Oryzias latipes: one gene and its partners. The protein of the gene in region 3 purifies or fractionates together with the protein of the main gene of each other region. This does not show direct contact. Links are inferred from orthologs where the notes say so. Each region holds a gene or a part of one and is shown on either strand. Other genes may lie near its edges.

Region 1 (4,194 bases), on a different chromosome or scaffold from region 3:
CCTCTTTCGCGTTTTAAGATTTTACGAAAACAGCAGTTTCGGAACACAAACCTCTGTCACCATGGACACCATCATAGTTATCAATGAGCTCCTCCAGGAAAGCCTCGTCCTGTTCCAGTACCTCATCGCCCATGTAAGGGATGTTATGGAGGAACGTCTCATCCTCTACCTTCAGAAACACAAAAAAGGACGCAAGGCTCAGAGCTGTGTGTGAGTGTGTGCCAATGCCTCTTGTACAGGTTTCTCTCAAAAAAGAAATTTTATCTCAAGGGATTTCCTGGTAAAATAAAGTTTCAATCAAATCTGGATCAGCTAAAAGTTAATGAAAAATTGGATTGTAAATCCTCTCTCTCTCTCTCTCTATATATATATATATATATAAAACTTAAAGGAGATATTGAAAATAAAAAAAGTAAATTTATACTTTTAATATAAAAGAAAAGCACCTACACTATGAACCTAAAACTGTTACCAAATGATAAATGTTTGTTTATAATAGATGCTGTTTTGTGTTTTCAACTTTTGTTTTTTCGCTTCTCTCTGTCTTTGCTTTCAGTCCTCAATTCTTTTTATTAAGCCTTATTTGACATGGGGGTGGGGCTTTGAGCCCATTGGCTACCGGAGCATGATTGACATGTGGTGATAGAGATTCTGGTAACATAATTTCCACTACGAAACAGCGTCTGTTGATGGCGCGGCCGGTGTCATCTCTCCTCTAATGAAGCAGCTGTTACAAACAAATATTATTTTTCAGTTGCTTTTAGTTATATATTTCTTTTCATTCAAGTTTGAAACTTAAATTTTCAATATTGTATTGAGACTGCTCAGTTCTTCCCATTCTTTACATGTCAGTTGTCATGTTATTTTGTCCCAAAGATGACAATGATAGTGAAAAATGTCTTCATAATGTATAATTGCATGTGAAACAGCATCAAAAAATATTTGCCACTGTGTTAGAGGCCCTGTAAAAAATGATTTTCATGGGGCACAAAATCCCTAGCGGTGGCCCTCAGAAAAATGCCACATGAACGTGTTAAAAGCACCCAAAAGACAATTTTTGTTGGAGTGGGTGTTTAAGCTGATCCTTATTTGACCCCAATCAGAGAGTCATTGTTATCAAGGTAAGTTAAAATGACTGAAACTGCTCCCCAGTTATTGCACCACTCACATACCATGAAATTGTGCTGCAGGGGAGACCAGGAGTACATGAATGGGATCCCTGCCACTGTTGACAGTGGCCTCATGGCGATGGCTTGAGCTTTGAATCCTGGGAAACCAAACTCCACCGAACACATCTGAAAGAAAACCCAGAAAAACAGTCATTTTGGAGAACCTAGAGCAATATTCCTCATATATGGGCAGTTTCTAAACATCATCACCTTCTTATTAGCCAGTGCTACATTAGACACAGACAGCGGGATGGACTGAATCTTAAGCGTGGACCACTCTGAGTTAAGGACAGTAGTCTGCTGCTCAATCTTCTCCCGGTTGGATGAGAACAGGGTCTATAAAAACAGTAGAAATCCAAACACAGGTTTGAGTGAATGAGAAACAGGGACAAAGTACTTTATTAGTATTCAAATGGAAGATGCTGACACAACTCTAAATCTACCTTGACCTCGTCTGCTTTTTTAAGGCGTTTTAATTGGCGCAGGCGCATATACTCTGACTTGACCCTCCGCCTCCACTCCAGCAGGCTGCGGGACGGGGCAAAAGTGCAGGGCGGAGGCCTTGGCTGAGATGGGGCAACACTGGTACCAGGGGCAGGATGTGCTGTTTCCTCCATGACTGCAGGACAAACTCTGGCAAAACAAATGAGTCAAAGGTCAACTCACAATTCTGCCATAAAGAATGTGTTAAAGCAAACTGTTACCAGCTTCTTATAAAAAATATTTTTATGTATTTTTCCATTTTAGCTCATTTTTATAAATATTCCTCCATCTTCAAAGCCTGAAGGCGGTTTTAAAAAAAACAGAACACTTGCACTTTCCCATAAGCCACTGCTGCAGGTTTTTGCAAAACAGCGCCCCCCTCTGTTCGCAAAACAAAATTGCCATCTACTGGTAAAAAGCCCTTTTGAAGGGTGCTTTAAAATCTCAAGGTTACCCCATGATTATAGCCATACTTGGGGTAAAATAATAATAGTGAAACACGCGGAAAAAAGCCAACAGTCCAGGCATGCGTGCAAGCACGAAGTCCGTGGTTTTTTAGCCCACATTTCTAAAGAGTGGGCGTGCCTCGGCGGAGCAGAAAAGTGCGTAGCGCTGTTTTTTAGTGTTTCATAACCGCCTGCAAACATTTTCCCCAAAGATACAAGCTGAACACAGTGACAGATGAATAGCATATGAAAATGGAGCTCAGAAATTGTCGCCGTGGGTCTGATTTTCACGCGTAAACACGTTTCCACCACAGATACGCAGCGGGGCTTCGTCCTGAGGGTGCAGCCACAGCACCGTGGCGCACTACCGTGTCCATTTAAACCCAGAACACTTTTAAGACTTGCGCACTGACTCCTCTACAATGAAGGTTTTCCTGCACACGCGCGTGTGTGCGTCCAGATCCCCACGTCCAGTGTCGCAGTCACACACCTTTAAAATCCACGTCCGATTTTGGTGCAACGCGATCAAATCCCGGCGTTGGGAAGAAAAAAAAAAAGAAGGAAAAAAAATCGTTTGTGCTATGGATTAGACGAAAATATCGAGTCCAGAAGGCGAGAGGATCTCCGTGAAAGCAGCACGTTATCCAAACGCATGGTGCTGGAGGTTGTTGTTGGAGCGTACAAATAGCTGCGCACTTTGGTTGAACCAACCCGAGCACGAGGGTGACGTCTTTACTGCGACCAGAGCGCTTCCAAGCGGAGCTGGGATTTATGTCTATTCTGCGCCCTAGGAATAAAAAGTAGCGTGGAGCAGCAACGGCACAGCCATTACGCACACGCACAGGAACTGATGCAACTGCTTGAAGTACCATCTGAATGAATGACCCCTCTTCTTTGACCAAGGTGAAAAATAGAAAAACTAAAATGGAAATACAGCATCTATTTCAGTATCTACAATTAAGCAATTAAAAAAGGTCAAAGTGTAATTTATAGGGCTGTGTGGCTATAATAGAAATAACAATCGATCAAAAAACAAAAAAAAAAAAATGCAAAAACTGTTTTAACCAAATATAAATAGTCTTTCTTTCATTTCAGAATACAAATATCTGTAAGTGAGAGTTTCAGGTAAGACTTAATTGGTAACCAGCCTCCAGTTTTCTAACATTCCTTTGGACCTGTCTAAATATTTAGCTGCTGTTTTACATTTCTCCGGCAGGGGGAGCCCAATCTTATTATATTTAATGACCTGTTTATTTTTCTTTTTCTAAAATTGTCTCAAATACCTTATATACTCTACGAGTAAAATGGCGTGGTATAGTTTAATTAAATCACATTTCCAACAGTCAAAAATAATAACAGGTCTAACGTTTTGTTGCAGTGCTTGGATCTATTTCATTTGTAAATGTTTATGATTTGATTTTCAACAAAAGACTCCTGTCATAGCATGTAAAGGTTTTAATGTTTGAAGCCAAACTAATGCACATCGTTTATTCAACCTTACATACATTAAAAATCAGAATTTCAACCAAAAACACATCATCATATCTTGTTCCAGGATTTTATCACTTCTGTGGAGGTTTTTATAAATTATAAATAATCTCTGTGCATTTATTTTATTTTCTTCATTTTGGGAGATAAAAGTTCATAAACGTCCGAATTTTGAGACAATACTTCTATGAGACACAAGATGGCACTCTTCTGCTGCCAGTCATGGAATAATTTTACTTTTCTAACTCCTCATGCATTAAGACAACAATTTTTAACATCACATAACACATTGTGTTTCTTTTCTCTGCTCTGAACTGTTACACCACACCCGCTTGGGGTATTATTTATGCTTTTGGTTTGTGAAAGTGGTCATATTTCAGTCAACAAAGCACGCTTGGCAATTTAGAAGCAGTGTAGGCCGTTGCTAGCAACATGCTGATAATGAACTGTCAAAAGACAACAAACTGAATTTAGGAAGTGAAGACATTATCAGTTTTTAAAACTTGTGATGTTGTTGATTTTTGAACTTTCTATTGCAACTGGTTTCTTCAGATTTGGAACAAGACATTTCTAGTATCTGGAGCAAAAACTTGGTGAGGAAAAGGTTT
Region 2 (4,408 bases), on a different chromosome or scaffold from region 3:
GTTGGGTACAGGAGGTGGGGGTGAATGGGGGGCAACAACTCACACTTATGTTTCAGGGGGGAAATGGTTGAGCCAAGCATGTCTAATTGTCTTACGCTAATTAGGGGGCCGTAAAGGAGGGGGAGGGGGTCACTAAGGGTCATGTCTCAAAGCCTGGAGGGTTTACAAGAGGACCAGAACTTCTCTGGGTTGTTGTAAAAAATAAAAATAAAATACTTTCTTAAAGGCTTATTTTGGTCTGGACCAGACGTAATGGATCAGCCGCAACTGCTGAAAACACATGACAGATGTGACACATGCATATATATTCAGAACTGAAATGTGTTTCCTGTGCTTAAGCTGCACAATTAGCCAACTTTAAGTCTCAACACTAGGCAAATTAGGACTTGACGCCAAAAGCTATACGTTTATTCCTAAAAAAAAAAAACATGAAAGTCCATGGCTCCATTCTAAACCAGGACTTTTATTTGATTGAGTCACTATTTCCACAACATCCTGCTTTCTCGGCCCAGAGTTACTAGAAAACAGCCCGATTGGGTGAAAAAATGTGAGCAGGCGAGGCCTCTTGTTGCAACATCACTACATGAAACTGCATGGTCAGAAAAAGATCACAGCTGAGTCAGTGCTATGACTAAAAGAAATGACTGCTCTGCTACTTTCACTGGCATTTCAAAAATCCCAGATATGGACCGTTTCCCATCAATAAAAGCAGGTAAACTGGCACCAACATGTTAGAAGTAAAATCATCATCAGTGGAATGCAGATAAGGATGCATTTGCATGAGTCGTCCTTGCTGGTAATTGAGACAAAATATACAACCAAGCTTCCTATTAGGAACCAATAAAACTAAAATACTCTGAAAAAAAATCTTTTTTTTGCATCTATGGATAAGAATTCAATTCGTTTTGGGGGGTTTTATTCGTGGATTTTAAACGCCCACATGGGGAACTATTTTCTTTATGAGCCACTCCGCGTGTCGTTTTGTTGAGGTCACTGCGGGGGGGGGGGGGGGGGGGTCTTTGAGTTCTGCTGACTTAATGGGGCTTTTTAAACAATACATGTTGTCCGTTTGGGTCAGCAATCATTACATCAGAAGTGCAATAAACTTCTCGTGTAAAGTCACGGACTCTGATCCGAAATTTCAAAAAATATATAATAATATATACGTGTATGAGTCATGCGGTGGGCTCGGGTTAAAACTAGCCGAACTACTTTTGAACCCCCAAAAAGGAGCATGGAGCAGCCCTTCCCATCAAACTCAGCGATACTCGGACAAAAAAGAAAATGGTCGCTACATACATAAGCCTCTGCAATGCGACTGAACACAGACTCTTAAAAAAAAAGGAGGGGAGTGGGAGAAGACTGGGTCATTTAGGAGCACCGCGTTCAAACAGGCCGACCGAGCGGCGTTCCGTTCGGCAGGAATTCAGCCGTTGAGGTCGATACCTAAAAGGTTGGCAAGCTAGCCTTAGTGCTGAAAAAAATGGAGTTGCCCCCTCACCGAGCGGCACCTTCACAGAGGTCACAGCTAAAATACCGGCAGCCTGTCGCCCGTCACCTGGTCGAGAGGGTAATAGGCTAAAAACATATATAAACCCCAAAAAGAAAGTAACCTTCGTCGTGTAACGTGATAGAAATTGGGTGAGAATGCGGATTCGCGTAACCCCCCTTCCCTTCTGCGCTGCCTCACTCTTTATGGAGGAAATTAAAGAGCCGCCACAGCATGCAGTCAGTCCCCCCCACCACCACCACCAAAAAACGACACCTATTTCACCCTAAACGTGAATTATATACACATTTAGAGATACGACAACGCCTCTGATTTGGCCGACCTAGTCCTCCAGCAGCTCGGTTACAAGCCGAGATGAAACGCTCAGCATGGGACGAAATGGAAGCCGAGCTATGGCCGACAGGCTCGTCTGCGCTGCTTCGAGTAGCAAGAAGCGAGGGGGTCGAACAAAAGCCCAGTTTTCTGAGACCCTCCGTCTGACCACGGCTCTCCATCCACGACCCCCAAAACACGACCCAGGAGACGCGTTGCCTCCCGCTGTCGCGCGTGAAAAAACCGAGTCGAAACGAGCGAAAAGCAGCCCGTGTTCAGATAGCATAAAACATGGGGGGGTGGGGGGGTATCGAAGAATAAACACGAGCTGCACCTTTAAATTCACGGCCAGATCCGCGCTGACACGCCGACAAAAGCTCACATTTAATGGAAACAACCCCACAAAGCTGCCTGACGGTAACCTTCACAGCCCGCGATGAAAGTTTGTGCATTTTCATCGAGGCGAGCCGAGCGAACTTGAATACAGGAGCTGCATTTAGGAGGAAAAAAAGAGGGTTTACTTACATATTTCTTTTGAATGATATTCCTCTTAGGTCTTTCCTTGCTCATTATGCAATCCCACCCAAAAAAAATGTTTGGCTATAGAGAGAATGGCCACATGAATTTCTTCTTTCTTTTGACTCTCGCCTCTCCCGGAGCTCTCCGCCAAATGACGATTTAAATCCCCGGCTCGGTCGGAAAAGCTCGCTGGCCGTAGGCTGCAGGAATCCTCCGGCGGTGTTCTCTCCTCGGAGAAGTCGGAGCTAAATCCCCACGATTCAAGAGTCGACGACGGACAGAGACGGACTGGACCCAAACTTACTTGGGGGTAACATAGTCAAAACAAATGCACAACAATAACTTCCATTCGCCCGAACAGCTCGGCCACTCTGCGCACCCGCTCGTCTCGAAAACATGCAGATAGCCGAGGTTAGGTCAGCAAGTCACATCCTGCCCGGTATGACATCGTGAGAAAGCAATAAATAAAAAGAGAAAAATAAAAAAACAAAACGTTAGGAATCGCGGTGTTTCTGGCTGGAGCCCGCAACCATCGACAGAGCTCTCCAGCGGCACTGCTCTGCTGACTGAGAGCAGCTCCTTTCTTCCCCGGCCTCCGCCTCTCCGCCTATCACGGAGGCGCACGAGCGCGGAGCGGCAACTTCAAAGTCCCGGAGAGACAGCCCTCGCGAGCTGGCCGCTTGTTTCGTTCCCCCGTGGGGCGTTTGTTAAAAAATGGGATGGAAAAAGGAGAATCCATCTCTATATGTAGTCTATTTCGTGTTTTGGTTTGAAAAATGTACCACAGCAAGTAAGGGAATGTGGGTATTTCTGCATAAGGGTGTTTTGTCTACAGCAAGCATGTCCAAAGTCCGACCCATAGGCCAAGTGCGGCCACCGGCCCACAGGCTTCTGTCACAAAATCAATATTATGCAGCCCCCAGCAATTCTGAGAACTACTTCTGAATTGTGACTGGCTAGAGCCAATGGAAGCTTAAGGATACAAACAACCAGTAGCTACATGGGCGGCCATGGTGCAGTGGTAGGGTGGTCGACCTTGGATAGCAGGTTTGATTCCCACCCATGTGTCCCACAACTGCATGTTCCTTACAATTGGGTTATCGTTTAGAAGGGAGACAAAGAGGCTTTTCAACAGTGTAACATTTAATTCCAAGCATTGCTGGAAAACATAACCCACCAAACACAATTTCCGCCCATGTGTCGTAGTGTCCTTGGGCAAGACACCGAACCCTACCTTGCCTCTGGTGCAAGGTTGGAGCCTATGGAGTTCAGTGTGTGAATGGGTGAATGAGTTTGTGACTGGAAAGTGCTTTGGGCCATCGAGGAAGGTAGAAAAGTGCTATACAAGCTTACGTAAATTTACATGACTTTCAGAACCTTAAAGCTCCACTCGGATCATCTTTTGGTCTATTGCATGATCGCTGCCTGTGGACTTTTGTTATGGTAATGCCGTTTTTAGCACCAAAAAAAAATGGAGCTATGTCCGAATTCTTCAATACTCACTATATACTGTGTTCGAGATTTTGTAGTGCTGTCCGAATCTACAATTCCAAAACCAATTGCCCTACAAACTTCCCAGAAGTCTCTGCCAGTGTGGATTAATGCTCACTGGATTGCAAATATAGACCACAATGCATTGCGTTTGAACACTGGTTTTTCACAGATACTTCTAGGAAGTTTCTGGGCCACTCGATCTTGAATAGTGAAGGAATTCAGACACAAAATTGTAAGGAAGTTCCGAATTCACATTTTACTGAAAATGTCAAAACAGAAACTGGCAAACAAATGTAGCGGTGGAATGGTAACCCTATTCGCTGGATACTAACGGGTCAAATCAATTTCAATCCGTTTTTATTTTTAATCTCTGCAATATAAGAAGTAGAAAAACCTCTTGAGGTGGAATGCTAATGCATAAGTACCAGCAATTGTGTTTGGTGGGTTATGTTTTACAGCAATGCTTGGAATTAAATGTTAAACTGTTGAAAAGCCTCTTTGTCTCTCTTCTAAACGATAACCCAATTGTAAGGAACATGCAGTTGTGGGATTAGCAGCCAAGATAAGTACGTG
Region 3 (3,649 bases):
GAGGCTCACTCACTCTCCCGGATCGCCGCAGTAGCAGTAACACTGCTGGAGGTTAGTCTTGTGGCCCTGGTCCCACACCAGCTTGTCCAGGGCGTAGGGGAAGGAGAGCTGCAGCTCCGTGTGCTGCTGTGCTTCGGCGTCGTGCTTCGTGGCCGACGCCCTCCTCTTGAGTGAACTCCTCTTCTGCAAACAGACGGACATCTTTAAATGCGTCCTATAAAGAGGAAAGGCTGCATCCATTCAGAAGACCAAACCTTCGATAGAGATGCATGTTCACAGTCCGAGCAGAGCCACTCGTCATCAGAGTCGATGACTGCAGCGTCGATGACGGGGTCGTGACACAGCTGGTGGTATCCTGAGAGACAGGCAGCGTCTTTACGTTTCTGACACGTCACTAAAGCCCCGCCCATCCATCATGAGGATCCTGGAGCTGCTTTCAGCTTCTGAACAGTAAACTGGCTCCTTCACAGAGTTTCTCAACTGACCTTGTCCACAATTGTCACAAATGACAATCTCATTGGGTTCCTCGGACACTTCCTCCTGACATATAGAGCACACAATGTCCTCGTCCTCCTCGTCTTCATCATCTTCATCTCCTGAAAAAAGACGAACGCAATCAAGGCCAACAACTGACCACAAGGGGCGAGACAGCTACCAATCTTCCTTTTATCTGATGGATGTGGAAATGAGCCAACAGCAGCAGATCTTCAGCCCAGCTGTGGCCGGTGGATCTTTCCTGCACACACTCCTAAGGTAAGAACGGCCACATCACAACGTTCCACATGTGTCAGCAACACCGCCTCACGTGTCGAGCTCACAGAGTGAAACCGTGTCTGTGCACGCATCGCTCCAGGAGAAGTCACGTGACCGATACACCACTGAGTCGCTGCGTCACAGCGGCTGTGGTTGGTGGACACAGGAAACGCGTCGACCAGCAGTGTTGCCAGATTCTGTGGTTTTCTACCCAATTGGGTGGGTTTGATTTTGATACTGTAGAGTAATTTTGCTTTAAGCGGGTTTTAGCTAGTTTTATAATGAGTCTAAGCCAGTGTTTTTCAACCAGTGTGCCGCAGCACATTAGTGTGCCGTGGGAAATAATCCTCATTAACTGATCTAAAAACATTTTCCATCTCCAGGATATCAGCTCTGTGTTCATCCAAACAGGCCCTGATAAAACACTGAGTAGTTAGGAATATGAAAGATCATAAAATACTTTTTTCTGTTTATTTGATTATATTAAAAACATTTTGATAAGAATGACGGTACCGCGATTTAGCCGTAGCTTCACCTCTGTTTTTGGAAAATCCCCCCCCCTTTAACTGTCTCTGCCAATCATTCTTGGACCCCTAATCATACGTCATCAGTCTGACCAATCAGAAGTGGTTCATGTCTTCACTTCCTTGTTCAGATTCTGCTCAAAGTCTCTCAGTTCCACCAAAAATACCAGCTAAAGCTCGGTAAATACTAATAAAACTTCAACATGTTCACTTTTTGTGTAGCTACAGAAAACAAATGTCAGTCTTTTGGTGTAAATTTGATCAAACATGTCGTGATCATATAATTTTTCAAAAATTACAGTTAATAAACTGGAGGGTAAAACAACTACCAGGGTAAAATGTCAAATAATTCAGATGAAAATTATTACGTAAAACTAACTTAACTTTTATTGCATCGTTTAGAAAAAACAGCTGCAACTTTCAGATTTTTCTGCCACAATTATCACAAAAATGCACGTGAGATCTTGGAGGGACTCTAGATCAATACAGACTATAGAGTTTCTCCTTATTTAATTTTTGGATGATGTTGTGCCGCGGGATTTTTGTCAAGGATAAAGTGAACCTTGGCTCAAAAAAGGTTGAAAAACACTGGTTTAAGCCATCTTTTATTTTGAAAAATGACCGGATCTTCTCGGTTACATTTCTGTCACTCGGGTGTTAAACCAATCCAGCGGTGAGTTTAACAGAGTAGGAAAAAAAATCCATTTTTGATGCCTCAGATAGCGCAGCTTCCAGCCATTTTCCCCGCCCACCTGTGTTTGGTGTTTTATTTTACTGAGTCTTTACTTGTTGAATGTGGTGTTTCAGTTGAGTTTGTGGATTTATTTAATAATAGTGTTTTTGGTTTATATTTTTTTTTCCTGTTCCTCTATTTTTCCGCTTGATCTAGCAGAACACTTCCATTTTACCCTCTTATTTTTGATGAATCCTTCAATGTTTCGGAGGTTAAGTGTCACATTTGTTCAGCAGGACTGTCAAACTTAAAAGCCCCTCCTTATTGCTGGGGCATTATAGAGCGAGACATGGCAAAGAGGACGCCACAATGACAAATTTTGGTTTAGACTAGGTCAGTGTTTTTTAACCTTTTTTGAGTCAAGGTTCACTTTATCCTTGACAAAAATCCCGCGGCACAACATCATCCAAAAATTAAATAAGGAGAAACTCTATAGTCTGTATTGATGTACAGTCCCTCCAAGATCTCCACTGGATTTTCTGTAATCATTGAGGCAGAAAAAGCTGGATGTTGCAGCTGTTTTTCCTAAATATTAAGAAAGTTGTGAGTTTTCAATAATAATTTTCAACTACATTGGTTGAAAATGTGTCCAGGTAGTTGTTTTTCCTTCCAGTTTATTAACAAGCAATTTTATGTAACCTCACAAAAACCAAATGAGAACAATATTTCTAAACAGTGATTTATTTATTTATTAAATGTTATGATCACAACATGCCTGTTGTCGGTTTTCCAATTTAGTCTTAATCCTGTTAATTTTGTTATTTTTTGTATTTAAGATCAACTCTTCAGATTTTTCAAAAGTGAAGCTGAATTTCTCCTGGATTACAGATATTAGAAAACTGTTTCAGTTAGAAACATGACGAGGACCAAACACCAGAATGTCTGGCTGTGAATGATAAACACTAATCACACAGGAGAACCAAACTGTTTACGTCTGATTTCATCAAGAAGATTTGAAAACTGTTAAAACAGACTCGTGTGTGCATTCGTTGGGTTTCATGACAGTTAATAGAGCCGGGTCATCGTAGAGACGCTGTCACTGTAACCCAGTGCTTCTTAATTATGTTTTACAAGGCCCCCCCCTTAGGAAAAAGAAACTGCCCCCCCCCCCCCCCCCCACACACACACACACACACATACTCGCCATGGCTACAATATATAAGTTAGTATAAAAACAAATGTGCAAGTATACCTAAAATTGTATCTTTTAACATTAACAAAAGAAAAAAAAAATCAATATAAATCCACCTTTAACAAATACTAACTTTATTTAGACACAGAAACCCTGTTATAGTCTAAAACAGAAAAGAAGCTTAAAGTGCCTAAAATAAAAAAATCTGTCAGTCATTATTAAACTAGAAACATTTTGACCAACTGAACCATTTGATGCTGAGAAAAATAATTCAATCAATAAATAATATTAAATATAGATTTCAAATCAGAAAACAGTAGATATAGAAGACTGAATAAACACAAATGTATTATTGATTTATTTACTTATTGATTTTTATTTTATTTGGGTATTTTATTTTACTTGAATGAGAGTTTTGTAAGTAATTTATGTACAGAAAACAGATAATAGAGTATAGTTAATAGTATATGTTCCATACAAATTTACTGACTCTCAGACACTCACACA

The links.
Region 1: the proteins of mtf2 (region 3) and ezh1 purify together in Homo sapiens (affinity purification with mass spectrometry; 3 studies listed by BioGRID and IntAct, with this or other methods). This does not show direct contact. The link is inferred for Oryzias latipes from reciprocal best matches to the Homo sapiens genes MTF2 and EZH1.
Region 2: the proteins of mtf2 (region 3) and jarid2 purify together in Homo sapiens (affinity purification with mass spectrometry; 3 studies listed by BioGRID and IntAct, with this or other methods). This does not show direct contact. The link is inferred for Oryzias latipes from reciprocal best matches to the Homo sapiens genes MTF2 and JARID2.

What each region holds. Positions count from the first base shown.
Region 1 is NC_019866.2:6,666,105-6,670,298, reverse strand, and holds the start of ezh1 (histone-lysine N-methyltransferase EZH1), read right to left. Parts: upstream 2,924-4,194; 5' UTR 2,589-2,923; intron 1,803-2,588; 5' UTR 1,787-1,802; coding exon 1,619-1,786; coding exon of another isoform or gene 1,613-1,618; intron 1,506-1,612; coding exon 1,380-1,505; intron 1,296-1,379; coding exon 1,173-1,295; intron 170-1,172; coding exon 52-169; intron 1-51.
Region 2 is NC_019869.2:23,831,788-23,836,195, forward strand, and holds the start of jarid2 (protein Jumonji), read right to left. Parts: upstream 2,924-4,408; 5' UTR 2,393-2,923; coding exon 2,348-2,392; intron 1-2,347.
Region 3 is NC_019875.2:5,984,693-5,988,341, reverse strand, and holds part of mtf2 (metal-response element-binding transcription factor 2), read right to left. Parts: intron 597-3,649; coding exon 486-596; intron 356-485; coding exon 255-355; intron 184-254; coding exon 14-183; intron 1-13. UniProt on the Homo sapiens protein: Polycomb group (PcG) protein that specifically binds histone H3 trimethylated at 'Lys-36' (H3K36me3) and recruits the PRC2 complex, thus enhancing PRC2 H3K27me3 methylation activity.